Linked DNA regions of Elephas maximus indicus. The protein of the gene in region 2 interacts with the protein of the main gene of each other region in a pairwise test. Links are inferred from orthologs where the notes say so. Each region holds a gene or a part of one and is shown on either strand. Other genes may lie near its edges.

Region 1 (7,613 bases), on a different chromosome or scaffold from region 2:
ACCTGTGGCGACCCCACGCGTTACAGAGTAGAACTGCCCCATAGGGTTTTCTTGGCTGTAATCTTCACGGAAGCAGATCACCATGACTGTCTTCTGTGGAACAGCTGGGTAGGTTCGAACCACCCACCTTTAGATTTGTGGTCCAGTGTGTTGCACCACCCAGGGCCCTTTCCCAGGACACATATTGTCAAATAGCTTAGCTCATTAGCGCTCAGCATGCTGTTGCCAGTACTCGGTGAGGCAGAATTCAGGAGAGAATCTTGAACAGTAAAGTTACCCTCAGGAGTTTTCAACACTGTATGTTTGGGTTTTTGTATGTTCTTGCAACTAGGGGACGATGTTTATTGCCACCGCTGTGAGCATTATTTTTATGTAGTCTTAGCACTGAATGAATTACTCAAGCATCACAAAGATAATTAGACAAAGAAAAGACATTCAGTAGCATCAGTTAATGGGTCTATGCCAGTGTCTGTTCCTGTTTGTCAGTCATTATTAGAGGCCAGAGGTGCAAAAGACAGATGAGCGCAATTAGTCCAGCCCTTTATGCAAAACAGTTCTGCCTGTGAGTAGTATTTAAAAACAGGAGGGCTGCCAGTAGGGAGGTTTATCATTAAGCAAAGATAGTAAGTGTTGCAAACCACACCGAGCAACTGGAGCTTAGCTTTCACATATCTTGGTCCTCAACAGCTTTTGCTGTTTTCACAGATCCTGACACCAATAATTAGAATTCAGGGGGAGAAGGAGGAATGTGAAGAATCATGTTTTCTGGGAGCACTTCAACACTGGTGAGGGCAATGGGGAAGCCTGGTTCCCAGAGGAGCAGCCAAAGGTCTAAGAATGAGGCAAGCCCTGGGCTGTATCAAATGCTAAACGAAGTCCACATTACACAATAAAGCATCATTTATCTTTCAAAAGCTGATTCTCCAGGGCCAAGGGAGAAGCTCAACACCTCTGAAAAGACAAGTTTGTCTTTTGTGGGGAAAATCCTGCATTGTTTCCACAGTGCTATTTCACCGCCTCTCAGGCCACATTCCACTGGGTGGCAGAGGTCCTCTGAAAAGACACCAAGGGCTCCACATGGCCTTCAGGTTAAAAACCACTTCTGACACTGGTGGATCTTTCACTTCATTCCACTGCGAATATACACAACCAACCCTGCTTCTTGAATCAGCACCTCCACCTGCAACTCCATACCTTCCTCGTGTTAATCTCCCATCAGAAACCAGTGCCTGTCCCACCCCCTCTTCATTCTCCTTTCTTACAATGTAGCACCCAACCAGCTGCCGTGGAGTCAGTTCCGACTCATGGTGACCCGACATGTGTCAGAGTAGAGCTGTGCTCCACACAGTTTTCAATGGATGGCTTTTCAGAAGTGGATCGCCAAGCCTTTCTTCCAAGGTACCTCTGAGTGGACTCCAACTTCCAACCATTTGGTTAGAAGCCAAGCGCGTTACCATTTGCACCACCCAGGGGCTCCTACAATTTAGGTCAGATATCAACTATTCCAAAGAGCCTCCTGAAATCTGACTCCTCCACACCCTCCTTAATTTTGGATGCTCAACTTAAGCAAAGAGTCTCTTAGCACTTAGTCTTTATTTCTGTCACCGCATTGACCACGCTTGTAATTGGCTCCTTGTTGGACTGAACTTCCTGTGGGTGGAAGCAGTATCCACAGTTCGTGGAGGAGCACTGGGCATGTAGTAGGTACTCACTAAACCTGTGCATGGCCTTTGGGAATATACCTCTTTCAGATATAATATACATACAGAAAAGTACACACATCTGCAAAGCACAAATGGATAGATTTTTACATATGTGTATGCACGTGTAATGAACAGAACAAGGGGGTACGGTGTGGTTTAAAGTCAGGAAAGGTGTGCATCAGGGTTGTATCCTTTCACCATACCTATTCATTCTGTATGCTGAGCATATAATCCGAGAAGCTGGACTAAATGAAGAAGAATGGGGCATCAGGATTGGAGGAAGACTCATTAACAACCTGCAACACACAGATGACACAATCTTCCTTGCTGAAAGTGAAGAGGACTTGAAGCGCTTACTGATGAAGATCAAAGACCACAGCCTTCAGTATGGATTACACCTCAACATAAAGAAAACAAAAACCCTTTCAACTGGACCAATAAGCAATATTATGATGAACAGAGAAAAGACTGAGGTTGTCAAGGATTTCATTTTGCTTGGATTCACAATTAACTCCCACGGAAGCAGCAGTCAAGAAATCAAAAGGCACATTGCATTGAGCAAATGGGCTGCGAGAGATCTCTTTAAAGTATTAAAAAGCAAAGATGTCACCTTGAGGAATAAGATGTGCCTGACCCAGGCCATGGCGTTTCAATCGCCTTATGTGCATGTGAAAGCTGGACAATGAATAAGGAAGCCCGAAGAATTGACAGAATTGATGCCTTTGAATCGTGGTGTTGGCAAAGAATATTGAATATACCACGGACTGCCAAAAGAACAAACAAATCTGTCTTGGAAGAAGTACAACCAGAATGCTCCTTAGAAGCAAGGATGGCAAGACTACATCTCACATACTTTGGCATATCATCAGGAGGGATCAGTCCCTGGAGAAGGATATCCTGCTTAGCAAAGCAGAGGGTCAGCAGATAAAGAGGAAGACCCTCAATGAGATGGATTGACACAGTGGCTGCAACAATCGGCTCGAGCATAGCAACAATTCTGAGAGTGGTGCAGGACTGGTCAGTGTTTCCTTGCATTGTGCATAGGGTTGGGAACCAACTCCACAGCACCTAACAAGAACAACAACATGCATGTATAAACATAAGCAAGGACCACTCAGATCAGCAGAAGGAATGTTTCTCCAGACAATCCCTTGAGGCAGAGGGCTTTGAGCGCTCTGGGAAGGAGCCCCAGGCAGCCTGTGAAAGCTGGCTGGTTCTAGTGGTCGACTCAGATATGAAAGCCCTGCTTTATTGCATGCAGAGCTCTAGGGATGGGTGTGTACAGGTGGGGGAGAGGGATAATGTTTTATCCTAGAAGCAAGAACTGGGAGATTAAACAATAGAAACATTTATAAAACACAAATAGTGAAAAGCGAGCATATACAATCACTCCCCATCTCCCACAACTGTTCAGCCAGAAGCCCCAGGGCCAAAGAGGCTCAGCATTGTGAGGTCCCAGGAGACCCTGTCATCTGCTCACTGCCTCCTCTCCTCCACCCTGGTGCCTGCTTGTGACAGGAGACCTCAGTGACTTTGAAAGAACTGCAATCTGGGCTTGCCAAATCTGGTTTATATAACTTCGACTCTGTTCTTCGCTCTGCTACATAGAAACTGTGAAAGTGCCCTGAATTTTCCCAGTGCCAGCACTTCCAAGGAAGCTTTCAATAATTGCTACTACTTTTGCAGTGACAGAATGGCCTGTCTATAAATGCCTGTAGATGATGATGATGATGGTGAGTACTCTGACAGCAAAAATCGAGTCAGCTTCTTTATTATGGAGTGTACTCTCCTTAAAATTGGGAAAGGGTGTGTCTTTGGGGGGCACTGGGCAAGAACACTATATACTTTTATAAAGGTAAAATGACATTTAAATATCAAAGTACCTTTGTAAAGAAAACTGTGAAACCAAAACGCAGAACAAAGAATGGATGTGAGAAGAGCAACAGCACACCCTCACCCTTTTTATTGGTGGCAGGGATGTCCCTTACTGAGTGCAACCCCACTCACCTGTGCCTTTGAGCCAAGTCACTTTACCCACAAGAAACCCAGAGTCACAGAGGGAAAGGGCCTTCCTCCAGCGCCGCGGCCTTGCATTTCCTCACTTGTAAACGAGAGGATCAGGCTCTCCGTAATTGACTCCAATTTTTTTTTTCCCTGCTTTCTCAGTCCAACATTTATATCCTCATGGTACTTCCAGGATGCCAAAGACCTCAATGCCTATGGTTTGTGCAGGCTGTGCCCTGTGAGGGCACTGGGCTGGGGGAAGGTGAGGGGACTCGATGGGGCTGAAATCCGCTGTCACAGGCTCCAGGACCGGCGGGCGGTAGCCCTGGCTTGAGACAGTGGAGGTGTCCAATTTATTTTGCTTGTAGCCTTGACTTCATTTTAGATAAGTAACCTGCAGCGGCGTCACCTCTACTTCAGACCCACTCCCCCAGTCGGAAACAAAAAGGGGGTAGCGTTCATTTTCTGTGGTCCCTGGCGAAGCCAGTGCCAGGTCCGAGCGCCCCGGAGAGAGCGCAGCTGCGCACCCACCGCGCGGGGATGCCGCCCGGCCCCGCCCCCGCGTAAACTTGGCCGCACCCACTTCCCCGGGCGGCGCCCCCGCCGCGGCCCGGGCTGACGTCACAAGGCACCCAACCACCGGCGCCCCGCGCTGCGCGCCCCGCGCCCGGACCCGCCGACACCCAGGCGCGCCGCGCGTCCGCGTCCTCGCCGCGCCGCGGAAGATGGCGAGCCCGGCGCCCTCGGAGCCCGCGGAGGAGGGATGCCCGGCCCGAGCTCCCCGCGAGGAGGCGCAGGAGGAGGAGGGAGCCCACGAGCAGCTCGCGGCGGCCGGCGCCGAGCGGCAGGTGGAGGAGGCCGCGGGCCGGGCGGCCGCCGCCGAGACCTGGCTGCTCGGGGAACCGGTGCTGTGGCTGGGCTGCCGCGCCGACGAGCTGCTGAGCTGGGAGAGGCCGCTGCGCAGCCTGCTCGCCTTCGTCGGCGCCAACCTGCTGTTTTGGTGAGAGCCCGGGTGGGTGGGGGCGCTGGGGAGGGCAGGTGACCTTGGGGCGCCCCGGGGCGGGCGGGCGGAGGGCGCGCCCAGAGGCCGGGGCGGGGGCTGGCGGGGCGCACGCTGGGCACTGCAGAAGAAAGAGCGTAGCCCGGCCCCACTTTCCGGGCCACCTGCCTCGGACAGGTAGACACTTCACCTTGCCTCCAGACACACTCGCCTGTAAACAGTAGTCAACCTCGTGGGTGTATCCAGCCTGAGACTGGAGGTGGTCAGCTAACCTGCACGCACCTGTCCCTACAGGTGTGCCCGGCGTGCTGGAAAACTTCGGCTTTTCCTTTCTATAACTCGCAGGTCTTGACCTGCTCGCCCAAGCATGCCTGAGCCAACGTGCTTGAGCTTGTATTCATTCTGCACCCCGAGCAGGCGAATCTGGACCATCCTAGATACACGTTCAAGGCTGCGCCGCCTTCCTGAGCCCCCTGAGATGGGCCTTGAATGGCTTGTTTTTCCTTTCCCTGGAGTGTTGGGTTTACCGTCTTTACTCCCTGACCAGAAAACAGTCGGTAGACAGGTGGATTATGTACAGCATCCCTCCCTCCAGGTGTGCACAGTGTGGAAAACAGACATATTTTTAGGTGATGGACAGAGAGAACACACAGGAATGCTTTCTTAAAAGCCCACAATCAACAGGTCTGTCTCTCTAAAAAGTGCTTTTCGCTGTTAAGGAGGTAGGGAAGTGTCTGGCCCCTTTACTGAAGGACTTATCCTGTCAAGGCTCCCGACCTGAATGAGGGTGGGGTCCGGGGGAAGCCTCTGTCTAATGTGCCTACAGAACAAACATGACCCCCAGTGTGCAGGATAAGCCGAGTTTCAGAAACACGTATCTTGTTACAGGACCTAGATTTCTTCACCTTAAAGTTTGGGAATATACACAGTTTACTCCACCCTCAATTTTCTAGGTTAACGTGAGAAATGTGAAGATTTTTCTGCAGCTTCTGCCCTAGTCCTGTTTTTCTCCTCACATGACCTATGTCTGTCTTATCCGGGTCCCTGAGTGTGAATTAACTTTACCTTGGGCATCTTAGCTGTATCTCTTAGCTCTCTGTAACAGCTAAGGTAGAGTTTATTTCAAAAATCTCCAGCCTGATAATAAAATCTATTAAGAAAACATTCTGCATCCCACTTTCGAGAGAGATGTCTGGGGTCTTAAATGCTAGCAAGCGGCCATCTAAGATACATCAACTGGCCTCAACCCACCTGGAGCAAAGGGGAATGAAGAACACCAAAGACAAAAGGTAATTATGAGCCCAAGAGACAGAAAGGGCCACAGAAACCAGAGACTACATCAGCCTGAGACCAGAAGAGCTAGATGGTGCCTGGCTACAACCAATGACTGCCCTGACAGGGAACACAAAAGAGAACCCCTGAGGGAGCAGGAGAGCAGTGGGATGGAGACACCAAATTCTCATAAAAAGACCAGACTTAATGGTCCAACTGAGACTAGAAGGACCCCAGAGGTCATGGTCCCCAGATCTTCTATTAGCCCAGGGCAGGAACCATTCCCAAAGCAAACTCTTCAGACAGGGATTAGACTGGACAATGGGATAGAAAATGATAGTGGTGAAGAGTAAGCTTCTTGGATCAAGTAGACGCATGAGACTCTGTTGGCATCTCCTATCTGGAGGGAGATGAGAGGGCAGAGGCGATCAGAAGCTGGCTGAATAGACACGAAAAGAGAGAGTGGAGGGAAGGGGTGTGCTGTCTCATTAGGGGGGAGAGCAACTAGGAGTATATAGCAAGGTGTATATAAATTTTTGTATGAGAGACTAACTTGATTTGTAAACTTAAAGCACAATAAAAAAAAAAAAAACCCAAACTCCAGCCTGTTATGAAGTTACACAAACACTCAAATGGAGAATATATTGTAGTATTCTCGATTGGGCAACAGGCCAAATACTGTTAGGGTTGTGAAGAGGCTCAGATCTTATTATCTCATGTATCTTACCAATGGGGGACATGTTTCTAAAGCTTTTTTTGGTTATTATTTAAAATTTTATTTTTAAGAATAGCTAATACATTCTCAGGGTTCAAAAGTTTAAAGGTACAAAAAGGTAAAACCCATTGCCCTCGAGTGAATTCCAACTCATAGTGACCGTAAAGGACAGCGTAAAACTGTCCCATAGAGTTTCCAAGGAGCAGCTGGTGGATTTGAACTGCCCACCTTTTGGTTAACAGCCAAGCCCTTAGCTGCATCACCACCTGGAAAGGTGCGCAGGGTAAATACTCTAAAACTCGCTTTCTCAAGCCTGTCCCTGGCCACCTAGTTTTTGCCCAGTGACAATCAGTGTTACCAGTTTTTAGTATTCTAGGCAAATTGTGGAATACTGTGTGGGTGATAAGGAACCCTTGTGGTGCAGTGGTTAAGCGCTTGGCTGCTAACTGAAGGGTCATCGATTTGAACCCCCCAGCCACTCCACAGCATAAAGATGTGGCAGTCTGCTTCCGTAAAGCTTCCAGCCTTGGAAACCTTATTAGGCAGTTCTCCCCTGTCCTCCAAGGCCCCTGTGAGTTGGAATCAATTGGATGGCAATGGGTATATGGACATTACTCTTCTCAGTATATCTTGCCGATCACTTCCTCGTTCTTTTTCAGAAGCATAGAATTCTGAAAGTTTAACCTGCCCACTACTGATGGACTAAGGTTGTTCCCAAACTTTGGTATTACAGCGTTCTAGCTGATGGCCTTGTGCATGTATCATTTTGCATATATGCAAGTATTTCTGTAGGGTAAATTCTCCGAAGTGGAATTGCTGTGTCAAAGGAGACATGCGCTGGTAATTTTGATGGGTTTCACGGTATTGCACCTCTTTGAAGTTCTATCAATGGGTACTTCCACCTGCAGTGTGTGTGACT
Region 2 (7,520 bases):
AAAGGGAAGCAGGAATTTGGGGTCCAGTTTTTAGGTCCTCCACTGATTTGCTCATAGTGATATGGTGAACAACCATCTTCAATCCTCTGTGTTTAATCCTAATCTGTAATTTTTTTCCCTTCTATCTTCATTTACTCTCTAGCTGATCTCACCTAGTCCATAGTTTTAAATACTATCCATATGCTCATGACAAATGTATACCTATAGCTCCAACTTCTCCTTTGAGCTCGAGACTCATAAATCCATTTACCTACTGTACATCTTCACCTAGAAGTGTCTTTTGGACATCTCATGCTTAATATATCAAAAACCAAACTTTTTTTAATATTGTATTTTTATTTATTTTTATTGTGCCTTAGGTGAAAGTTTACAGCTCAAGTTAGTTTCTCATACAAAAATTTATACACACATTATTATGTGACCCTAGTTGCTATCCCTATAATGTAACAGCACACTCCCCCTTTCCACCCTGGGTTTCCTCTGTTCATTCAACCAGCTCTTAACCCTTTCTGCGTTCTCATCTTGCCTCCGGACAGGAGCTGCCCATTTAGTCTCATGTATCTACTTGAGCTAAGAAGCACACTCTTCATGAGTATCATTTATGTCTTATATATATAAAAAAATAGTCCAGTCTAATTATTAGTCTGAAGAGTTGGCTTCAGGAATGGTTTTAGTTCTGGGTTAACAGACAGTCTGGGGGCCATGTCTTCTGGGATTCCTCTAGTCTCAGTCAGATCATTAAGTCTGGTCTTTTTACGTGAATTTGAGTTCTGTACCCCACTTTTCTCCGGCTCCGTCATGTACTCTCTGTTGTATTCCCTGTCGGGGCAGTCACTGGTGATAGCTGGGCACCATCTAGTTCTTCTGGTCTCAGGCTGATGGAGCTCTGGTTTATGTGGCCCTTTTTGTCTCCTGGGCTAATATTTTCCTTGTGTCTTTGGTGTTCTTCATTCTCCTTTGCTCCAGGTGGTTTGGGACCAATCAATGCATCTTAGATGGCTGCTTGCAAGCTTTTAAGACCCCGGACACCACTCACCAAAGTGGGATACAGAGCATTTTCTTAATATACTGTTATGCCAGTTGACCTAGATGTCCCCCAAAACCATGATCCCCAGACCTCCACCCCTGCTACTCTGTCCCTCAAAGAAAACTTCTTAGCTTTTGGTTTAGTGCAGTTGTGCTGACTTCCCCTGTATTGTGTATTGTCCTTCCCTTCACCTAAGATAATTATTGTCTACTACTAGGTAGTGCATTCCCCTCTCCCTCCCTCCCCACCCTCGTAACCATCAAAGAATGTCTTCTTCTGTGTTTAAACTTTTGTTTGAGTTCTTATAATAGTGGACTCATACAATATTTGTCTTTTTGTGACTGACTGATTTCACTCAGCATAATGCCTTCCAGATTCATCCATGTTATGTTTCATGAATTCATCGTTGTTCTTTATTGTTGCATAGTATTCTAGTGTGTGAATATACCATAATTTATCCATTTGTCCACTGAAGGGCACCTTGGTTGTTTCCATCTTTTTTGCTATTGTGAACAGTGCTGCAATGAACCTGGGTGTGCATATATCTATTTGTGTGATGGCTCTTATTTCTCTAGGATATATTCCGAGGAGTGGGATTGCTAGATCATACAGTAGTTCTATTTCTAGCTTTTAAAGAAAGTGCCAAATCGATTTCCAAAGTGGTTTACATTCCCACCAGCAGTGTATAAGTGTTCCAATCTCTCCACAGCCTCTCCAACATTATTTTGTGGTTTTTTGGATCAATGTTAGCCTTGTTGGGGTGAGATGGTATCTCATTGTAGTTTTGATCTGCATTTCTCTAAAGGCTAACGATGGTGAGCATTTCCTCATGTGTCTGTTAGCTGCCTGAATGTCTTTGTTGGTGAAGTGTCTGTTCATAACCTTTTCCCATATTTTAATTGGGTTACTTTTCTTTTTGTTGTTGACATTTTGCAGTATCTTGTAGATTTGAGAGATTAGACCCTGGTCAGATTTGTCGTAGCCTAAAATTTCTTCCCAGTCTGCAGGTTGTCTTTTTACTCTTTCCGTGAAGACTTCTGATAGGATAAGTGTTTGATTTTTAGGAGCTTCCAGTTATCTAGTTTCTTTTCTGGTGTTTGTGTGTTGTTAATAATGTTTTGTATTCTGTTTATGCCATGTATTAGGATTCCTAGCATTGTCCCTATTTTTTTTCCATGATCTTTGTCATTTTAGATTTTATATTTAGGTCTTTGATCCATTTTGAGTTAGTTTTTGTGCATGGTGTGAGGTATGGGTCTTGTTTCATTTTTTTGCAGATGGATACTAAGTTATCCTAGCACCATTTGTTAAAGAGACTGTCTTTTCCCCATTGAACAGACTTTAGGCCTTTGTCAAATATCAGCTGCTCATAGGTGGAGGAATTTATGCCTGGATTCTCAACTCTGTTCCATTGGTCTATGTTGTAAAACCAAACTCTTTATTCCACCTCCAAACTGACTCCACCCTATTTTAGTAAATGGCAATTCTACCCCTTTAAGAACCTTGACTTTGACTTCTTGCTCACATCCCACAACCAAACTATTTGTTGGCTCTACTTTCAAAATAAATCCAGAATACAGTTACTTCCCATCACCTCCATAGACACCATCCTAATCTAAGCTAACATTATCTTTCACCTAGATTATTGCAATAGCCTCTTAACTGGTTCCCTTGCTTCCACCCCCACCCCCTTACAGTCTACTGTCTACACACAAGCTAGCCTGATCATTTAAAAGGCAAGGCAGATTGTGTTACACCTCTGCTGTAACTTCCATCATTCTGATAAAATCCAAAGTTCTTCCCATGGCATTTAAGGCTCAACACAGTTTTATTCTAGATCTCTCTGATCGCATCTTCTAAAACACTTGCCCTTGTTTACTCATCTCGAGTTGCAGGGATTCCTTTCTGTTTCTAGAATATGCCAACCACCCTATCCAAATAGCATTCCATCCCACCAACATTCTCTAATCACCTAACCTGTCTTATTTTTCTAAAGAGCACTTATAATGATCTGACGTTATTTTGCCCAACTAGAATGTAAACTCTGTAAGAACAGAAACATCTGTTTTGTTCACTGCTGTTTCCCCAGCACTTAGAACTGTGCTCCTATATGCAAAGACACTAATTTCTATGTATGAAATTAAAAGGATTTTTCACTTCACTAAAAACAAACAAAAATCTATTTTGGGTGCTCAGAAACACAATCATAAAATTAAAAAAAAATACTTTAAGAATGAAGCTAGATTCCACAGCATCCATCAGGAATTTCAACTATAGAAAATTATGAATGACAATATTCAAAGATATAGGACTTCCAGATGCATCAGAATCACAAGCATGTGACAGGAGTCATGTGCCCAATTAAGTGAATATTCTCGTTACCTATTCACCAGCTTATAAACAGAGAATGACCCAGTCTTGACTGCCCTGATGACTCTGCTTGGAAAAAGGGAATTACATCATGGACTGGAAAACCTCAAGGCATGTGCCCAGGCAGGTGATACATGCTCAGCCCAAGCTGTGAATTCTGGACCCCAATCTGGGTGCAAAACAAGGAATCCTGTCTCATGACCAGCTGCCAGAGGGATTCTCTAAGCCTGACAGTCACCTCTAACTCCTCTGCTTATTAAGGTTAAGGCGAGTCTCTTCGTGATCAGTGATGTTACACTCCTCAAATGAGTATTTGTAATATCTTTTCTTAAATGTTTTAAAAATTTATTCACGAATAGAGAAGAAAACGGGAGTTGTTTAAATTTGATTTCTATGTCCAAGGCAACCTATTTTGATTGTACTCACTACTACACCTTCGTGTTGTCATAAGTACCCCTTCCCCACAGTCGCCTCAAACTAGTCATACACCCCCATACAGAGCCTCCAACCTGCCACCGCTCCTAACAATGCTCCCCGAACTGTTAATACTCGCAAGCCCCCTGGCGTCATCAATCTTCAGAGACATCTCGTCAGTCATTCATATCCCCTAAATCCCTTTCCTGTCACCAACACTCCACTCTCCCCCGTCAACAGCCCTTCATAAGAGCCCCGTCCTATCCGCCATTCGCCCAATCTCCCCTTCCTGTCACCAACGGGCACCGTGACTCCGCTCCAGTCACCAGTTCCCCAAACATCCCCTCACGGACCAACTCGCCCAACCCGTAGTCAAGGCTACCGTCCTCCATTACCGCTCAGCTTCCCGCGAAGTCCTCCTGTACCCCTCCCCTTCAAGTGAGGCCGCGCCCCTTGCGTTTGGGGTCCGGACAACGGCACCGGAAGCCCCGCCCCCGCCGGTTGCTAGGCTTGGTTGCCGGAAGTCCCGCCTGCCGTGTAGTCGCCGCTGCCGCCGCCGTCGTCGTTGTTGTGGTCGGTGCGCTGAACACTTTGGCTCCGAGAGCCGTCTCGGTCCCCTTCTCGCCGCCGCCATGAAGTGGATGTTCAAGGAGGACCACTCGTTGGGTAAGCGGTTGGAGGCTAGCTGGGTCGCGGGGGGTTGGGGCGGCGGGTGGGCCCCCTCCCCCCACTCGGGCCGCCCTGGGCCGGGCGGGGCTGATGCCGCACCCCGGGTTTAGGTCGCAGAAGTCTCGGCACCCCGGGCAGCTAAACACTGAGCCCGTTCCGCCCTCCGTGGGCCCGACCGGGAGCCAGCAACAGAGAACAGCGGCCGCGGGGACGCCGGATCCAGGGCCCGGGGCGTGCGCAGGTCGCAGGGGGTGGAAGGTTGGGGGCCCAGGAACCGCACCTGCTCGGCCGTCAGCCCCTGTGTTTACTCCCCGCAGAACACAGATGCGTGGAATCCGCGAAAATCCGAGCAAAATATCCCGACCGGGTTCCGGTGAGTGTTCGGCCTCCCCCGCCCCCTCACCTCGCTGTCTAGGGCCCTAGACCAATCTACAGTGATAAGTTGAGGTTCTAGTCCCAGTTCTACCAGCAGACGGGCCAGACTGGGTTAGGGCGGTCAGGTGCCCGGCGTGAGGGGGCTCGGGTTGGTGCTGTTCAGGGTTCCTCAGTGCTGAATCTTCCGATCTAGGCCAGCGAGCTGTCTGCAGCCTCTGGGCTCCCTGGCTAATTACATAAGGATCGTTGTTCTAGGACAGGGCAACAGGTCACTGCCACTTTTGGGAATGGTGATGGAGGGAGATTGTCACTTTGATCGTGGAAGTACTACTTGAGTCTCAGGACATTCATTTTTAACTTCAAGCCTTAATTTTTAGCCAATCTCTAGCTCTGTTTCCTCACCCTGACCCTGTCATCTTGGTGACAAAAAAAACTTGAGAAGACAATGAAACCCCTTCTCCCCTGGTTTCCCCTAATCAACAATAAATGTGATCTCATATTTTTTTCATGCTGGAGTAGATAGTTTCTGTTATCTTTATTGTTAGAGGACATCTAGGCCTGTTATTGAAGCTCTTTGTGAACAGTTCTTTTGGGGGCAGGGGGCAAATTTGAAACATAGTTCACAGAAAAGCAACAAGCCAGATGAATACCTTCATTCTTGACTGGCTGGGATTGCCAGTCATTCCCATTAGTGCATCCCTTCTTGTCTCCTGGGTTCCTTGAGATTTTAATTCTCCTGTAATGTGAAGGCGGATTCAATTTAGGCCTTGGAGTAACAGGCTATACATGAAACCCTCACCAGATAATTCTTGGGTCTGCCCAAACTGTTGAAAAGCTTAGTAGTAAGGGCTGCGTTTCTCTTACGCAGGCTGAGATCAGGGATAAGAAATATAATTGACCATAGAAAAGTACTGCCTGATTTCATGTAACACATTTATATCAGCCCTCAACCTCTGGAGTGTGTGGTTTATTAAGCCAGGGACTAATTTTCTAATGCTGTATAGTTTCCTACCCACCTCCCAGCCCACACTCTGTTCATCAATTGTCCTGACAATTCAAGGCCAGAGCCTCACTTTAGAAATCCAGTTCTGACTTCTCTTTACTCTCTCAGGTGATTGTGGAAAAAGTCTCCGGCTCTCAGATTGTTGACATTGACAAACGGAAGTACCTGGTTCCATCTGACATCACTGTGGCTCAGTTCATGTGGATCATCAGGAAAAGGATCCAGCTTCCTTCTGAAAAGGCTATCTTCCTTTTTGTGGATAAGACAGTCCCACAATCCAGGTGAGAGACGGTCACTACATGGCCCCTCTGTTTTGGCCATTTGCTTAGCTGCATACAGAACTCAGAACTCTGGAGGTCTAAAAACTCTTAGGGCTCTTGGCTGGAAACCAAGACATCAGGAGCACCAGGAAAATGAGGAAGGGCTGCAGTACATGGAGTGCACTTCGTTTAGGAGTACAGAACAAGGCCTGGAGTTTTTTTTTTTTTAATGATGAAACCCATCCTCAGACGCCCAGGAATCCTTTAAAACAGTTGCAGACTCAGGCATAGAACTGAGATCTGAAATGAAGTTTTCTCCAGATCAGCCCTGTCACTCTTCACCAGGAGCTTGTAGTCCCTTTTGAGGCTTAGCGTCAGCTAATTTCCCTGCCTGATTGCTCTCCAAACTCAGTCAGCTCTTGCCACGGTGAGAGTCTGTAGTGCCTGATTCTCAAGCTCGTTAAAATGGCTGCTGTCCAGTAAAGGGCTCTAAGGTCTCTTTACAGACTGATACCTCCCTCCATACCACCAGCTTTGACCCACAGAGTAATGGCTACCATACTCTGTTTTGCTGCCTGGAAGCAGGCTTTGGCGTTAAAACTTTGGAGCCTAAATCTAGGCAGGAGCATTACAATCCTTTTCCATGTAGTTGACAACCCAGCTTTTGTCTCCTGTGGAAAGAGGAAAAGGGACTGGCTCCATCTAAACCACTGGCCAGTCTTTTCCCATTACTGATTGGGTACTTGTAGACCTGGAACCAGATTTTAACCCTTACCTTTCCCCTGGGTGGCTGTTATCTCGATGATCCAAGACTAAAGTTTCCTTTGTTACCCCCAAAAGTAGTATTTCTAAAAGCTAAGGCTTTCAGAAGCCCTGGGAACTAGCCCAGTGTGGCCAAAATAGGCTCTGTTTGAAAATCCTTAAAAGCTCCAGAAGAGACCTAAGCCAAATTCCAAACCTTATTTCTACTAAAGGTAGAAAGCTGTGGCTATTTTTAGGTCTGATTTCCTCTTTCTCAGTCTCTACCACCTCCACGTCCCAGTGTTTGGAAGAGAGGCAAGACATGGGAAAAATAAAAGGCTCTTCTTTAAGGCCAGTGACCTGCCTGGGGAGCTAGGCCAGGGCCTGCCCACTGGGTGCCATTGCCATTGGTCTGTGAAAGCTGTGATGTTGTCAGAGGTGATCTTGTCACCTCATTGGGTTTTTCTAGTCTTCCTTCCCCACAGGCCTCTGGGCAGTATGTTGCTGGGTGTATTAGTCACTAGGGGAGGAAGCCCTGGGCATCTGTGGTCACTCTCAACTTCCCTTAGGGTTGTTGAGAGGTAATCTTCATTTATATACCTGCAACTTCAGCAGGGCCTTGGCTACCCTGTTTCTTCCTTCCTGGAGGTGGGTTCTTGGA
Region 3 (8,308 bases), on a different chromosome or scaffold from region 2:
TTATCACATTTGCTTCAAGATTTTAATTTTTAAATAAAAGAAATACTTTTACAAATACAGTTAACATCCCCCTTTTGAGCCCTGCCCATCCCCCATGTTAATACTCTCTAAGACCACAGCTTCTGCAGTGTTTTGCTGATGCACTAAGGAACAGGCCAGGACCTGTCTGATAAGAACGTGGTAAACTTCACAGAGAGAATCCCTGGAGTGAAAAAGTTATAATGAGTACACGCAAAGAGTAACCAATCGGTAGTTTTCCAAATTGAATTTCCTCCTACACTGCTTTAGGTCTTGTGAAGAAACTATTAAAACAGCTTTTTAGAAATATTTAAAAAATCCTCACTCCTGGATAAGCCTATTTGCCTATGGCTTCACCAAAATCACTGGCCTAGATAACTGTTAGGTTAGTTACAAAGCGATAATTTGTGGCATTGTCTCACCTACTACCATGCTGAGGCTTCACTATGTGGTTAAATTAGAAATTGAGTCAGCAGAATAGAAGAGCTAACTCATGAATTTGTTTGCTGGGTAGGACATAAAGGGGAAGACTAGAAATTAATGTAGATAATTTCTGTCTTTGAATGTTTGAGGAATCAATTTAAAAAGGAAAAACAAATTGTAGCAGAAAGTAGCACACCTCTAACTCAGGTGCCTGCACTTTTACCCTTTTCTAACCAATTTTCCACAAAACAGTGATTTAAAACCCAGGTAGCATCCATTCACTCCCCAATATATAATCCTCTAGTAGCTTCCATTTGCTCCTGAACACCTCACAAACGTGGCCTCTATGGGTGCTGCCTGATCAGGCCCTTCAACAAGACACTTCTTTAATTTTCTGGATACAAGTTCTTTGTCAGATACATGTTTTGTGAATATTTTCTCCCAGTCTGTGGTTTGCCTTTTCATTTTCTTAATGGTATATTGTGATAAGCAGAAGCCTTTAATTTTGATGATGCTCAATTTAATAACTTTTCTTACATTGTCCATGCTTTTGGTGTCCTAAGAAATCTTGACCTACTCCAAGGTTGTGAAGATATTCCTTTGTTTTTTTCTAAAAGCTTTACAGTTTTTGCTATTACATTTAGATCTATGACCCATCTCAATTTTTTAAAATAGTGTGAGATAGAGATCGAGGTCCATTTTTTTCCATACGTTTATCTAGCTGTTCCACAGCCATTAGCTGAAAAGACTTTCCCTTCCTCATTGAATTACACTGGTGCCTTTTATCAAATACCAATTGACCATATGTGTGGGGGTCCATTTCTGGACTTGATGTTCTACTGATTTGTCTATCCTTATGCCCATATGGAGCCCTGGAGGTGCAGTGGTTAAGAGATCGGCTGCTAACCAAAAAGTTAACAGTTCGAACACACCAGCTCCTTCTTGGCAAACCCTACTTTGTCTTGTAAGTTCATTATGAGACTTGATGGAAATGGGTTTGGTATGCCAATAAACCATCTTGGATATTACAGCTTTGTATTAAATCTTATAATCAGGTAGTGAGACTTGCAATTTTTAAAAAGATCATTTTCGCTATTCTAGGTCCTTTGCATTTCTGCATTAGTGTTTAGAATCAACTTGTCAACTCCCCCCTCCCCCCACAAAAAAACTGTAGGGATTTTGTTGGGGACTGCATTGAATATGCAGATAGATCAATTTAGAAAACTGATATTTTCTCAATATTGAGTCTTCTAATTTCTGAACATGGTATAGCTCTGCATTTACTTAAAGCTTTATTTCTCTCAGCAATGTTTTAGTTTGTGTAGAGTTTTCATGTCTTTCAAAAAAGTTATAACTTTCATTTTTTGATGCTATGTAAATGGAATATCTAATTTTTTTTTTTTTTTTTTTTACTTTCCAGTTGTTGGCCGCTAGTATAGAAATCAAATTGATTTTTATATCTTGTGACCTTTCTAAATACACTTATTGGTTCCTGGTTCTAGTAGTTGTTTTTAGGTCCTATAGGATTTTCTATGTAAACAATACCTAAAGTTTGATGTTTTAAACAGAACGGACTGTAAATCCTTACTAAGATCTATTCTGTGGGCAAAAAAACTGCAAAGAAATCTTACACTTTATTCAGTTTTATTGTATTAGTAGCCATGTATTAATTTTGAAATTATTATATTGTAGGGTAAAACAAACAAGTTGACATTAATGTTATTAGGAACCAAGAGACACAAATACAGAATAAGAAAAGAAAAATCCTTCATGTTATATTTGTTATATTTAAACATATTTGTTATATTTGAATTGAAGGTATCTACTTGAATTTATGACTTAAAAAATATATATCTATTTCCTAGATCTGTCCACTGAGAGGGCCTAGAAGTAAGGACACCTGGTAGAAATAAGAATACATCCACAACTTGGTTTCTAACTCCTATTTCCCTCTAAAAGGAACCACAGGCCCTTGGAGAAATGGCTGATTCCCAGTCTGGGGCGGGGAAGGTATGAGGTGAGTCCGGACATCTTATTTTACCAGCGAGCAAGAAAGCTCTCAAAAAGACTCCTGTGTCCTTTGACATAGAAGTGTGCTTGAAAGGGCTCTCACTGGCCAAATTAGGGACAATTTGGAAGTCAAAAAGAACAATGACTGTAATGTATTTTAAACCATTTAATAAATAAAAATCCATTTGTCCATAGTGTTAAACAATAAAAACAAATGAAAATACTCGTTTCAGCATACAGTGATTATTACACTAATTCCAGACTCTAAAAATTGACAATTACAGGAAATACTCAAGTATTTACTCTGCTTCACCCCGCCCCCACCCGGCCAAAAGCATGTGGAACTCATTCCCAGTTGATTCTGTAAATAAAAAAATTTCTTATTTACAGAATGCCAGCTAATAAATGTAGAAAGATGCAATTAGAAAATCACTATTTTCAATGCTCAGTGAAAACTATTTAAGCAAGAATAATACATGAATGCTGAAAGTATTAAGTGAAAGGTTATTGGGGAACAGGATCAACTTTAGCATCAGTAATAACAGGACTCCAGGCACACTAAATGCTCCTACATAATGTAACCTGAAGTACACAGCCTCACGTATGAAGAATTTTTCTCCAGAAATGTTTAATCTGAATCTAATCAAGTCTTTACGTCTGGTCTCTCAAAAAGCCAATGTCATTTTAAAAAATTAAAAAAGGCTTAAGAAACTAATAAAAGATAACCAAATGCAATGTATAAACATTGATTAAATCCTGGCTTAAAAATAAACAAAATTATGAAGGAAATACTTGGGCAGTTGGGGATATGTAAATATGGACTAGATTATTACATAATACTAGGAAATTATGGGTAAATCTCTTAGAGGCTGACTAAGCCTTTTCTTGGCAAATCTCTTCCCTATTTCTCTGATAATGGCACCACCATTTTCTGCCAGTCAGGCTTAAAGAATCCTATGACACCCATCTCAGTCTTCTCTTCATTTCCACCACACCTCTGTCAGTACAGGTTTTCATCACTTCCTTTTTAACAGCTTTATTGAGATACCTCACATATCATACAATTCACCATTTAGTTACCCAACCATCACTACAATCAATTTTAGAACACTTTTACCACCCCTAAAAGAACCCCTGTACTCGTTAGCAGTCACTCCTTTTTAAGGATTGAATTGTTTCCCCCTGAAATGTGTCAACTTGGTTACACCATGGTTCTCAATAGTGTGTGGCAGTCCTCCATTTTTTGATTCGATGTAATCATTCTATGTGTTGTAAATTCTAACCTCTATGATGTTAATGAGGCAGGATTAGAGGCATTTATTTTTTTTTATGTTAATAAGGCAGGACAATCTACAGGACTATCTCTTTTGAGATATAATAGAGGACAGGAACCTCCTTACCACCAAACAAGAAGATGCAGAAGCTGAGTGAGTCCTCTGGACCCAGGGTCCCTGTGCTAAGAAGCTCCTAGACCAGAGAAAGATTGATGACAGAGACCTTCCCCCCAGAACCTAGACAGAGAGAGAGAGAGATAGAAAGCCTTCCCCTATAGCTGACGCCCTGAATTCGGATTTCCACCCTCCTAGAAGAATAAATTTGAGAGAATAAATTTGTTTGTTAAAGCCATTCACTTGTGGTATTTCTGTTACAGCCATACTAGATAACTAAGGCACTCCTCATCAGGTTTTTATCACTTCTGATCTGGCTTCTTACAACAGCCTAACTCCGCATCTTCAACTCTCTTTGTTCCAATTCGACTCATCTACACCACAGACGATGTGACTGCCCTAAAACATGGTTTAGCTATTATACCCTCTTCCCTAGATACCTTCAGTGACTCCCCCAAAGGACGCTTCGATTGAAGTAAACAAATACCCATTACCCAGTGAACCCCAGTGCCGTCGAGTCGATTCCGACTCATAGCGACCCTATAGGACAGAGTAGAACTGCCCCATAGTTTCCAAGGAGCGCCTGGTGGGGTTGAACTGCCGACCCTTTGATTAGTAGCCACACAATGTATTCAGGCACTGTGCTAGGTGCTAGGAACAAATGGCTCCAAGGCAGCCTTGACTTCTCTATTCTCCTACACTCTATTAAAAATGGATTAGTACTGAAGGCTTCTGTTATCGCCATAGCGTCTCCGCTCAGGAAGTTGCCTCTGCCTAGAAGGTTCCCTCTATCCTACCCCCTCATCATGCCCTCGGAAATCTTCCCCAACGTTCAAGGTCTATCTTCCCTAAGGAGTGGGTCCAAATCCCGCAGCACTTGAGAAGCTCTTAACACTTATCTAATTGGCTCGCTTGCACATACTCGAAGCTCAACACACATCTGCAGAACTGAACATATCCTTTGGACGCAGCGAAGCTCCACTGCGCGCCATCTCCAGCCTCTCTCCCAACATCGCGATTGGCTCTCCAACGTTTTCCCCTCTCTCTCTCCTAGCCCTCTATGACCGGAAATGACTTGAGGCGAGGGCGCCTCCGAAATCCCATGGATCATAGATTTGAGCGACTCCCGGGAAGAGCGAGCTAGAAAGGGTCTGCTCTTCCGGGTCAGGTCTGCGCGAAGAAACTCCAGATCTCAGTTGTCCCAGCTTCCGTTTGGGAGAACAGAACCGCCCCCTTCCCGCGCTCCTCGGCGTCCCGGGCCCGCCCTGACGCTGGCGGTGACGGATGGCGGCGGCGGTAGATTAGGGCCGTGGGTCAAAGCAGGCACAGCCGCTGGGGGACCCTGTCGGAAGCAACTGCCGCTGTCGCCGCCACTTTCATCTCTTCTGGGGCAGGGGCCAGGGCCAGGTGAGGGGAGTGGGGTTCTGGGCACGCAGAGCTGGGCTAGGAGGCGGTTTCACCTCCGTAGGACGGTGTCCAGAGACTGTGCCGACCCCACCGGCTCCCCAGTGGTCCCAGCGAAGCGTGAGTGAGTAAAAGAGTGTGTGTGTGTGCCGACGCCCCTTCGCCTGAGAGCTCGCGAAGCCACGGGGTCCGTTTCATTATAACCGGACTTATCCAGCGTGGTCTCGCCGTGAAAGCGTGTTGAGCAGAGCGTCTCCCTGAGTGGGCTGCCTGAGGCGCAGGAACTTGGCCCATTCTCCGCACCGCTGTTATTCTCCACGGCTGTCTTCACGTGGAAAACCGGTTCCATTTTTAGGACCAGACTGGGGAAAGTGGACTTCTCTTGGTCTCAAAAAAGGTTTTTATGCGACTCACTTGGAATGATTATAGATCCGCTCTGTCAGTCGCTCATTGTCACAGATAGTTAGAAATCTTGGACTTCTTATTCTAAATTCACTGTTGTTCTGACGCCCATTATTTTTTTCATAAAAACCTGCATTCTTACCCTCAGAGGCAATACCGTTCACACTGAGTCCTTCTTTGCTCGCAACATTCCAAGGAGAGGATAAGGAGATCCCAAGTTTCTTTCCTTCATAACCGAACATGAGGGAGAATTTGGAATTTTTGAGTTGAAGCTGATTTCTTTGACTTAGCGTAATGTTTTTGAAAATCGGACGGATCTGACTAGTTGTTCACATGCTCTTGACTGGTATTAGCTCTGTTTAGCTCTTAACCGCTCCCTGCACAAGTTGTTTATCCGTAATCACTATTTCTGTCTCTACGTAGAAGTTTTGAACTGAGCTGACAGTTTGTCCCCTCCCTCTTTTTTTGGCTTTATGGTTTAAAGCAAAACAAACAAAAAGCCTTTTTTACGAAATTGTCTGTAGAATTTTTCCCCGGAGGCTTGGTATAAACCAGAATGTTGACCTCTGCCCTGACTTGTTGTGTGACCTTGGATGAGATGCCACACCCTTCTGATGCCTTTTTTTAAAAAAAACCCAGAAAATTAAGTATTGTGTGAACTGCTTAGACTTCACGTACACAGTTGGACATTTGTACCTGCACATTTGATCCTGCAGACTGAAAATACTTAAGCCATTATGAAGTACTCTTCATTTGATAATAGGCAGTTAAGCGTTTTGTAAATCCTCTTTAATCTGAATGGCCCGGTACCATTCTAAATTTTTTTTTTAAATGACTTATTTTCTTATGGAGGAATGTGACATAGAAGTTGAATTCAACTTAAGATGGGTCGTTTTGAGTCGGAATCAACTTGACCGCAACAGGTTTTTTTTGTTTAAGGTTGAATCCAGCCAGCTTTGTAAAGAAAAGTGTGCTTAGTAGCTCATCAGTTAATAAATCAGATAATATATTTATTCAGTAATAATCATTGTTTTAAAAATATTTTTCTTAAATATTTTAGACAATTTTTAAATAATCACTTAGTACCCACCCTGCTGCTTATTGCTTTTTCATACATGATTTTGATCCATATCTTAATCCAAATAAACGGTCATCAAGAGTTCTTGCTTAATGTATATTACAGAGTTGAAGGGGAGCCATTTCCAGAGTAGCTGATTTTTTTTAACAGCTTCATTGAGACATAATGAGTATTCCATACAATCTACGAATTGTACAATTCAGTGATTTTTTACTACATTCACAGAGTTGTACAAGCATTTTCATTACTCCAAAAAGAAACACCATAGCCATTGGTAGTCGTTCCCCATGCCTGGCCCTCACCCATTCCCTCCCCATCCCAGGCAACCACTAATCTATTTTTTGTCTGTGTATAGACTTGCCTGTTCTGGAAATTTCACATAAATGGAATACACAACATTTGGTCTTTTGTAGGTGATTTCTTTGACTTAGCATAGTATTTTCAGGATTCATCCATTTTGTAGCATGTATCGTGATTTCTTTCCATTTTATGGCCAAATAATATTCCGTTGTATGAATATACTACATTTTATTCATTAGTCGGTTTAGGTTAGTTGTACTTTTTGGCTCTTATGAATAATGAATATGTAATGCTGTTACGAACATTTGTGTATAAATTCTTGTGTTTCGTTTTCTCTTGGGTATATACCTGGAAGTGAAAGAGTAATCAAATTTTATGTCTATTTTGGATTTGTGTCTTTAACGACTGTTATGTTTATGTAGAATTCTGTGTCCTCAAGCTATATACATATAAATGGGAAGCTTAATTAACCTGTTGTGGGAGTCAGATTTTTTGTGTGTGTTTGTGGGAAGACTTGAGAATGAGGCCTTCCTCTCTACATATAACCACCAACTGCCGTGGATTAGATTCCGAATATATGTAGCAACTCTACGTATATTACCTAGAAATGCCAACTGCTGAGTGAAAATATTTTGGGGACAGCTCTTAACACGAGATTGAACTAGAGTGTTTCCATTAGGCATGTATGTTCAATTGGAAGAAGAGAGCCTACATAACAACTTACTGTCTGCTGAGTTTTAAAAAAATGACACCTTGCTTGTCTTGCGTTTTGCAGGTGGGTGGGATGAATTTGCAGCTTCACAATCTTTATTAAAAAACCCAGTGCCATCGAGTTGGCTCTGACTCATAGCGACCCTATAGGACAGAGTAGAACTGCCCCATAGAGTTTCCAAGGAGCGCCTGGTGGAGTCGAACTGCTGACTCTTTGGTTGGCAGCCGTAGCGCTTAACCATACGCCACCAGGGTTTCCGCAATCTTTTTTAGGATTATTCTGCTTCTTCTGAAGAAAGTCTTAGGATTCTATGTTGTTGTTCTGTGCCTTCAAGTCGACAGGACTGTATAAAAAAAAAAAATAAGTAAAACATGGCTTAGAAAATGCAGTTATTGGATTTCATGTTAATTTGCAGAATTAAAAAAAAAAACAAAAAACTTACCTGCTCAAACTATCAGCCTTGAGTCTAGAGATCTGGTAGTCAAGAAGTGTTAATGTTTAAAATTCCAGAGTCTTAATTTAGGACTGAGTTATCTGTGGATTTTTAGGTTTTTATTTTTCTCTCCATAAGCT
Region 4 (8,091 bases), on a different chromosome or scaffold from region 2:
TATGTAGGTGAAAGAAGGTATTTGCAATGAAGAAATCGTTGGTCCTGCAAAATTCTATCATTCAATCTCCAGCATTTTTTCTATCACCAAGGCCATATTTTCCAACTACTGATCCTTCTTCTTTGTTTCCAACTTTTGCATTCCAATCGCCAGTAATTATCAATGCATCTTGATTGCATGTTTGATCAATTTCAGACTGCAACAGCTGATAAAAATCTTCTATTTCTTCATCTTTGGCCCTAGTGGTTGGTGTGAATATTTGAATAATAGTCTTATTAACTGGTCTTCCTTGTAAGCATATGGATGTTATCCTATCACTGACAGCGTTGTACTTCAGGATAGATCTTGAAACATTCTTTTTGACGATGAATGCAACACCGTTCCTCTTCAAGTTGTCATTCCCAGCATAGTAGACTATATGATTGTCCAATTCAAAATGGCCAAATACCAGTCCATTTCAGCTCACTAATGCGTTCCATTTCCTTTTTGACAATTTCCAATTTTCCTAGATTCATACCTTGTACATTACAGGTTCTGATTATCAATGGATGTTTGCAGCTGTTTCTTCTTATTTTGAGTTGCACCACATCAGCAGATAAAGGTCTCAAAAGCTTTACTCCATGCACGTCATTAAGGTCGACTCTACTTTGAGGTGGCAGCTCTTCCCCAGCCATCTTTTGAGTGCCTTCCAACCTGGGGGGCTCATCTTCCAGCACTATATCAGACAGTTTCCCACTGCTATTCATAAGGTTTTCACTGGGGAATGTTTTTCAGAAGTAGACTGCTGGGTCCTTCTTCCTAGTCTGTCTTATTCTGGGAGCTCAGCTGAAACCTGTCCTCCATGGGTGACCCTGCTGGTATCTGAATACCGGTGGCGTAGCTTCCAGCATCACAGAACGTGCAAGCCCCCACAGTACGACAAACTGACAGACACGTGGGGGAGCCACGGCAATGCCCTCTCAAAAATGTCTGCATCTCAGCTGCGGGGAGGAATTCCTCTTCCTGGGGGCTCTCCCTCAGCCCATCAGGGCATTCTCTATATCTGCTATTATACTTTCTTTAGGATTCTCTTTACTTCCTACAGGTACTTCCTCATTACTGCAATTCCCTGTTACAGTTAGTAAGTCTTTATATTAAACATTCCCAGCTCAAACTAATGTGTAGTTTCTCTCTTCTGATTGATCCCAAAGGGATACAATCATCTTACTTCTTTTCCATTTATTCTGTATATCTTTGTTCATTTTTTCTGGCCTTCATCCATTTCATTCTGCCTTCCATTTTATCTCCACTATTGACTTTTTGGAAACCCTGGTGGCGTAATTGTTAAGAGCTATGGCTGCTAACCAAAAGGTTGGAAGTTTGAATCCACCAGGTGCTCCTTGGAAACCCTATGGGCAGCTCTAGTCTGTCATATAGGTTTGCTATGAGTTGAAATCGACTCGATGGCAACAGCTTTGTTTGGTTTTTATTGACATTTTAGCTATTTGTTTTTGTTGTATTTTCTAGAGGTCATTCTAGAGCTTACAATATGTAACTTGTCTTATTGTACTTCAAATAATATCACCCCATTTTCAAGGCTCATCCATATCATGTCATGCTTCAGAGGTTTGTTCTTTTTTGTGTCCAAATAATATTGCCGTGATATTTACAGACCACATTTTGTTTTTCCATTCATCTGTTGACCGACATTTGGTTGTTTCCACTTCTTGGCTATTATGACTAATGCTGCTATGAACATTCACATACAAGTTTTTGTGTGGACATATGTTTTCATTTCTCTTGTGTATACACCTAGGAGAAAAGTTGCGGAGTCAGACGGTAACTCTATGTTTAACCTTCTGAGTGACTGCCAGTCTCTTTTCCAAAGTGGCCGCACCATTTTACAATGCTATTAACAGTGTATGAAGGTTTCAATTTCTCCACATCCTCACCAACACTTATCTGTCTTTTTGATTATAGCTATTCCAATGGGTGTGTAGTAATATCTCATTGTGGTTCTGATCTGCATTTTCCTGATGACTCTATTTGATTCTTTTTTTAACGTTCAATTTCCCTAGTGGCAGTCTCTATCCAATTATCTATTATTTTGAACACATTAACCATAGCTATTCTAAAGGTTAATATCTATAATATCTGGATCATGTGTCTATTATCTTTTTTTCCTCTTGGCTTTTGTTAAGAGTGTTCTTATTCTTGGCATATTTGGTAACTGTTGATGGAATGCTAGACTTTGTATACAAAAAATTTTAAAGGCTCTTCCACCAACGGGGATTTTTTTTTTTTTTTCCAGGCAGGCAGAACATGGGAAGATCACCTTGATCCAACCAGGGACTGAGATAGTTCAAAGCTGTGTTTTAGGCATTGTGAGGGCTATTTCCACTTTGCTTTTGCTCCCAGGATATAGTTCTTCAAGGCTCTCAACTGAAAGCCCAGGGGAGATGGGTTTACCAGGGACCATCCTTCCCATTTAATTCTTTCCAGCGTCATGAGACTGTCAACAATTTTTGGTTAGTTTTTTTTTCTTTTTCTCAACAGCTGCTTTCTACTTGTTTTCTTGACTTCTTGCATGCACAGGTTAGGAATCAGGAAATGCTTTGAGGGAAAATGACATATAGAGTGACTGGCTCCTTCAATTGCCTATTCTCTGGGATCTTGGTCCCCCAATTCCAAGCTGCATTGATAGACTTAGTGTCCTTTGTTTTTGTTTTTTAAAGAAATCTCCAGCCCGATGAGACTGCCACAGCTCCAGGATGCCACTTTCTGCTTGGTTTCTATACTCATTAACACCAATCAACAACGTCCCAAGAAGGAAAAGTAGTTGAGAATATAGAACTCACTTCAATATGTTCTCCTTCTTCCTGTACTCTTGGACTGTCAAAATTTGGCCAACTTTGCTCTCCAATAGCTTTAAAGTTTTTTTTTTCCCCTTAAAAAAAAAAATCCAGCTTTTATAGTTCTCAGTGGGAGAGTTAGTTTGTTCAACAAGCTCCACTCCATCATAGCTGGCATAATTAAAAAAATTCATCCTGATGGAAATTTCATTTAAACAAACGGGATTTCAACTTTGAAATATGCAGTAATTAACTGCATTTTTGTTTGTTTTTTGCACAGACATTATTTTGTCAAAAATGTTTACACAGATTACTTTATTCAGCCTAGATCAGGCAGAGTTTTGACAGAACAAGGTGCTGAGAATATTGACCTAAGAATATTTGCTCTGGAGATTGAGAAGAATTGGTGTAGAATGCCATATAGGAGAGTTTGCCTGAGGTGACAAAATAAGTTATTCACCTGGGTTTTGGATGACCATGGATTCTTTTTCCTCTCTCTTTCATTGTCTCTGTGTTTCTCTTTTCTTCCTTCGCCTACCCCAAGCATAGGAGTGGCTTTCCTGTCACAAGCGGGGTAAGGCCAACATCTTGAGGTTCTTAGAACCCAGGAAGAAGGGAAACATATTGACATCAGTTCTATATTCTCAGTCATTTTTCTTCCTGGGGCATTGTTGATTTGTGTCTAGAGGTATAGAAGACAAACAGAAAGTGGCATATGAATAATCAGATATGTTCTAAATGTTATTTATTAGTATCATTATTATTTTGGAGATGCTTTGTGCTGTTAAGAAGAAAGGAAGTTAAGAGCATGGGATGTGGAGCAAGACTGCCTGGGATTCAATGTGGGCTCTGCCACTAGCTATGTGATCTTGAGCAAACTTAATTTCTCTGTGCCTCAGTCTCCCCATCTGTAAAATGGGGATACTAACAGCAACTAACAGTTGCTGGGATTAAATGAATTAATATTTGCTAAGCATTTTTTTTTTTAAGCACTTAGTGCAAAGTCCGAGTACACAGTAAGTACTATTAAAGTGTTAAATAAGGTGGAGGATACCCAGTAGCATGTAGCACGTCCAGCCTCACCTCTGTTGTAGGTGGTGTCATTGCATGGTTCCATGGAGTGTGGGAGGACCTAGTTCTAAGTTTGTTTTAGGACTCATTAACCACCCCCGGCTCCTGTGGGATGGGGGAGTGTGACGGGTGTGTGTGTTGTAGTTGGATGTTAGAAACCTCCACGAGGTGGTTGACTGTGGTTGTTTGTATATCGGTCAGACGTGCTCTTATTCGTCCCTGGCTATAGAGGTGTCTGCTCAGTGCACTTTAACAGGTGTCACATACCGAGGAACAGATCAGATTTTGTTTGTTGCGTCTTAGTTGGAGGTGTATGGACCTCCGAGGGGTATCGAGGTCCTTGGACTGGGGCTTGCGGTAGGAGCGCACGCTGCACACTTCCGGAACATAATGGAGATCACAGGCTCCACACCTGTCCGGGCAGCGGGGACTGAGCTCCAGAGCGTGAAAAAGGGTTGTTACAAACCTCCCCAGCCAGCGCGCGCGTGTGCGTGTAAGGAGGGTGGTGCACACCTCCTCCAGGCAGCGACGACTGTAGGCTCGGTGCGTGTCGTAGGAGGTGTCGTTACACACTTCCTGTGGGTCTCGCCGACCACGGCGCGTTTCCGGTGGCGGCTGGAGCCGGGGGTCCGAGCCCCCGCCCCGCTCGTCGGCCCCGCCCCGCCCGTGCCCCGCCCCCCTTTCGTGCCCGCCCGCCCGCCGCGCTCCGAGCAGGGCGCTCGGAGCCCGGGGCGCACGGAGCGGCGCGCGCCGGTTGGCCGAGCCAGACTGGCGCCCCCACCCGCCGCCCGCCGGGCGCGTTCCACGCTCCACTTGTTTTCGGTCCGGGTCCCCTTGGTCGCTCTCCCTCCCTCTCCTCTGTCCCGCCCCGTCCAGCCTAGGCTGCCCGGCTCCCGCAGGCCCCCCCATCGCCCGCGTTCCTATGGACAGACGCACAGACACCTGCAGGTGGGTGAGAGCCCGTGCGCTGGGCGGGGACGAGCACGCTGAGACTGCGACCTGGGCTGGGGAACCCCTTTGTGTGGGGGGTGGCCCCGCTGGGGTCTGCTCTGCCTTCCCCTCCGCTGCCGCGCAGTGACCCGGCTGAACCTTCCTTTTGTCTCCTCTGTGGGGGGAGAGGTCCAGAGGGAGGGCAGGGACCGGGCGGCTGGACGTTGGCGGCAACAAGCTGGGGGGGGGGCGGTCTCAGAGGTGAAGACCCCAGGCGGCCGAGTGGGCTCCGGGAGCGAGCGCAGGCTGTGGCGGCCGCAGCTGTGATCTCGGCTCCTCCGGGGCCGGACGGCCGGCCGCCTAGCATCTCCTGTGGCCGCGGCGGCCGCGGGCGCACTGCATGGGTCTGGCTCGCCTGCTCCTGCTCTTGGATTTGTTTGAGGTGGAAAAGAGGGCGGGAAGGAGAAAGAAGAGATCTGCCACTCTAGTTTCCAAGTCTTGGGATGGCTATGGAGAGAGAGGGAGAGAGGTGGTTCAGGGCTTTGCCGGACTTGTTTCCCTCATCCGGAGGCACACTGAGGTGCGTTTGGGGCGTGTGTGTAGGAACGTACGATCGCTTCGGTCTCTTATTTATTGTTTCTAACCGAGGAGGGCTTTCTCTGAAAGCCTCCCCCCATCTGAGGCTGCGCACAGTGATTTGTGTTTGTTATCAAATATATCAAGAAACGTATCCCCCTGGGTGAAAGGAGCGTGGGCTGACCGAAATCGGACCAAGATCAAAGACCTGTTTTTGTTTTCCTGGCGACTTTTTTTTTTTTTAAAGATTAGATACAGACAAGCAAAAACAAAACATGGCTGTTATTTTTACAATTACATATTAAGTTTTGTTTCTTTAAAGTTTTAGGGTAAAGTTCTGTTATCTCCCAGACTCTTTAGCATTAACATGATAGAAAATTCGACCCATTAAAATAACAACAGGCGAGTCAGGTGGTGACAGCCTCCAGTGTGGAGGTTAAATTGGAAATAAGCGTTTATCTAGCTTATCACTTATCATTCTGGCTAAAACCTTCATTTTGCCGGTTTAAGATATGAGACATTTGACACATATGGGAGAACATGAATGTTAAAACGGATTTTTCCTCCCTGCGATAGTGCCTTCTTTATTTTATTATATATAGTTATATATTCTGTTGGGTTGTATATGGTGAATTTAGTGTTTTGAAAAGTACTGTAGGGTGATATTTCCGATTTATATTATTTAATTAGCTGGCTTTTTTTTTTTAACAGTTGGTATGTATTTGTAGATCTTCAAATAAATGAATAAGCACCCAAACAATTCTCTTCACAGATTCAGACTTTTAATACAGGTAGTTTTATTCTTTGTATTAATGTCAATCTGTTGCTTACTTTTGAAGACAAATATGTATATTTTTCCCTAGTATATGAGAATATATGTTGACAAGCTTAAGTCTGACAGTTACCAAAGAGATGTTTAAAAAATCGGATTTGAGGGTACTCAATTATATGCAGTCACATGTAGAAAATGGAGGCTTTCTTAAAAAAAAAATCCAAACTCAAATGAAAAACATGAAGGTGGAAAGTATTTAAGTTTTCGTAAAGTATGGTGTAGAAATTCATCAGAAAATAATAATACTATTTTAGTGCCTTTGTAATTAAGCAAGCTAATTTTTGTCACTGTAAAGAAAAAATAATTTAGTATGCTTAAAATAGTGGTCTTTTTCTATGGAGAAAAATGTATCCCAGATTATTTCCCCAGTTACATTAACAGAGTAATATTATTTATTGTATGACTGCTTTTATAAATGCCTGGAGTGTATAGCGTATACTTATGAACACTTTTCTTAAAACCTAGAAGAGGTTACATTTCACAGTGATCACTCCAGATCATATTTTATTAGTTCTTGCTTTAGATTTCCGGTGTAGATGAGATGAATGAATTGAAACTGCATAAAGGCACAGAACTCTGATAGGCTCTGTCCCTGGGACTGGAAGGCCCTTGACAAATGTTGCTTTTCCTTTCCCATTAAAGATGGCCCAAAGAGGATGGGTATTGAAATTTGTTCAGTCTTTATCATGAATCTGGAATGAAGTTCTAAACCATTCCCAGAGTTTCAGCTCTTAGATACATGTAATTTCATCAACCCTTTGAAGTATTAAGAAAGATAAGCTTAAAAATTGAATTGTTTATGTGTTTACAAGGTTGTCAGTGGACATGAGAAAGTTTAACAGAATACCACAGTGTAAACTAAATATTAATATTTTTGTGTGGCCTGTGCTGAGAATAGCTTTGGCAGAGTTGGAGTTGTGCCTAATAGAGCTCTCAGACTGGCAGTGTAGTGTCTTTGTGTGGGCCGGCTAAAGGATAATACCTTTTTTTATTTTTTAACTCTGCTGTGCAGATATTAATTTTTTGTTTTGTTTTTATAATTAACAGTAATATTTTAGCATAATCAGAAGCCTTCCAGAGAACCTTTAATATTTTCAATTGATCTCCCTTTTGGTAAGTTGGTGTTTAGGAAGGCATATAAATTTGCCACTTTTCACGGTTGAAATATTTTTTCCTGCTTTATTTTGTTACGACAAACAGATGCTGCTTTCAGAAATTTTGAATTTGTGTAAAATTGGAATTTTAACTATATCTGAGCAATATAACCTGACAGCAATTTGTTTTTGTTTTAAAACAACACTAAGCTGTCCACAGCTTACTGGACTTTTCTAGCATTTTCCTATCTGCTACTTATCAATGTATTCTCATTAAAGGAAACTTAAAATGGCCACTTTAACTGGAACCCTCAAATGACTAGCAGTATGATTAATAGTAACCAAAAGTGAAGCTGGAAAGTAAGAGTTTGATTCTTTATAATAGGTCTGTGACTTTCAAGTCCTTTTTCATGTTGTTTTTTGAAGTCTGGTGGGGATGCAGGTCTGATTCTAAGAGATACCGGCAATGACCTCCCATTCCAGACCTTATCCTGCATTGCTTAAGAACAGTGGAAGCCAATGCTGATCGCCTAAAAATGCAGAATTCATTCTTGGATTAATATTCTGCTACCAGATGTATGAGGCTGGCTCTAAAGATGCTTTTTCTCTTAAATACTGTCAAAAATAGAGAAGCTGAAGATTGGAGAGAAGCCATTTATTTTGAACAGTTTATTTTCTGACAGTTTGTGTTTATGAAGAAATCTGCTCAAAATATTTACTTCAAAGATCTACATTCTTGCCCAAAGAGACCCCATAG

Evidence for each region.
Region 1: the proteins of GABARAPL2 (region 2) and RETREG1 interact in binary tests that used the Homo sapiens proteins (3 or more experiments, as listed by UniProt). The link is inferred for Elephas maximus indicus from reciprocal best matches to the Homo sapiens genes GABARAPL2 and RETREG1.
Region 3: the proteins of GABARAPL2 (region 2) and BCL2L13 interact in binary tests that used the Homo sapiens proteins (3 or more experiments, as listed by UniProt). The two-hybrid records come from large-scale screens. The link is inferred for Elephas maximus indicus from reciprocal best matches to the Homo sapiens genes GABARAPL2 and BCL2L13.
Region 4: the proteins of GABARAPL2 (region 2) and KIAA1958 interact in binary tests that used the Homo sapiens proteins (3 or more experiments, as listed by UniProt). The two-hybrid records come from large-scale screens. The link is inferred for Elephas maximus indicus from reciprocal best matches to the Homo sapiens genes GABARAPL2 and KIAA1958.

The regions. Positions count from the first base shown.
Region 1 is NC_064820.1:20,172,988-20,180,600, reverse strand, and holds the start of RETREG1 (reticulophagy regulator 1), read left to right. Parts: upstream 1-4,342; 5' UTR 4,343-4,432; coding exon 4,433-4,707; intron 4,708-7,613. UniProt on the Homo sapiens protein: Endoplasmic reticulum (ER)-anchored autophagy regulator which mediates ER delivery into lysosomes through sequestration into autophagosomes.
Region 2 is NC_064839.1:41,234,677-41,242,196, forward strand, and holds the start of GABARAPL2 (gamma-aminobutyric acid receptor-associated protein-like 2), read left to right. Parts: upstream 1-4,334; 5' UTR 4,335-4,443; coding exon 4,444-4,477; intron 4,478-4,797; coding exon 4,798-4,853; intron 4,854-5,966; coding exon 5,967-6,139; intron 6,140-7,520. UniProt on the Homo sapiens protein: Ubiquitin-like modifier involved in intra-Golgi traffic. Modulates intra-Golgi transport through coupling between NSF activity and SNAREs activation. It first stimulates the ATPase activity of NSF which in turn stimulates the association with GOSR1.
Region 3 is NC_064822.1:55,261,163-55,269,470, reverse strand, and holds the start of BCL2L13 (bcl-2-like protein 13), read left to right. Parts: upstream 1-5,050; 5' UTR 5,051-5,246; intron 5,247-5,253; exon of another isoform or gene 5,254-5,367; intron 5,368-8,308. UniProt on the Homo sapiens protein: May promote the activation of caspase-3 and apoptosis.
Region 4 is NC_064827.1:61,736,213-61,744,303, forward strand, and holds the start of KIAA1958 (uncharacterized protein KIAA1958 homolog), read left to right. Parts: upstream 1-4,610; 5' UTR 4,611-4,850; intron 4,851-8,091.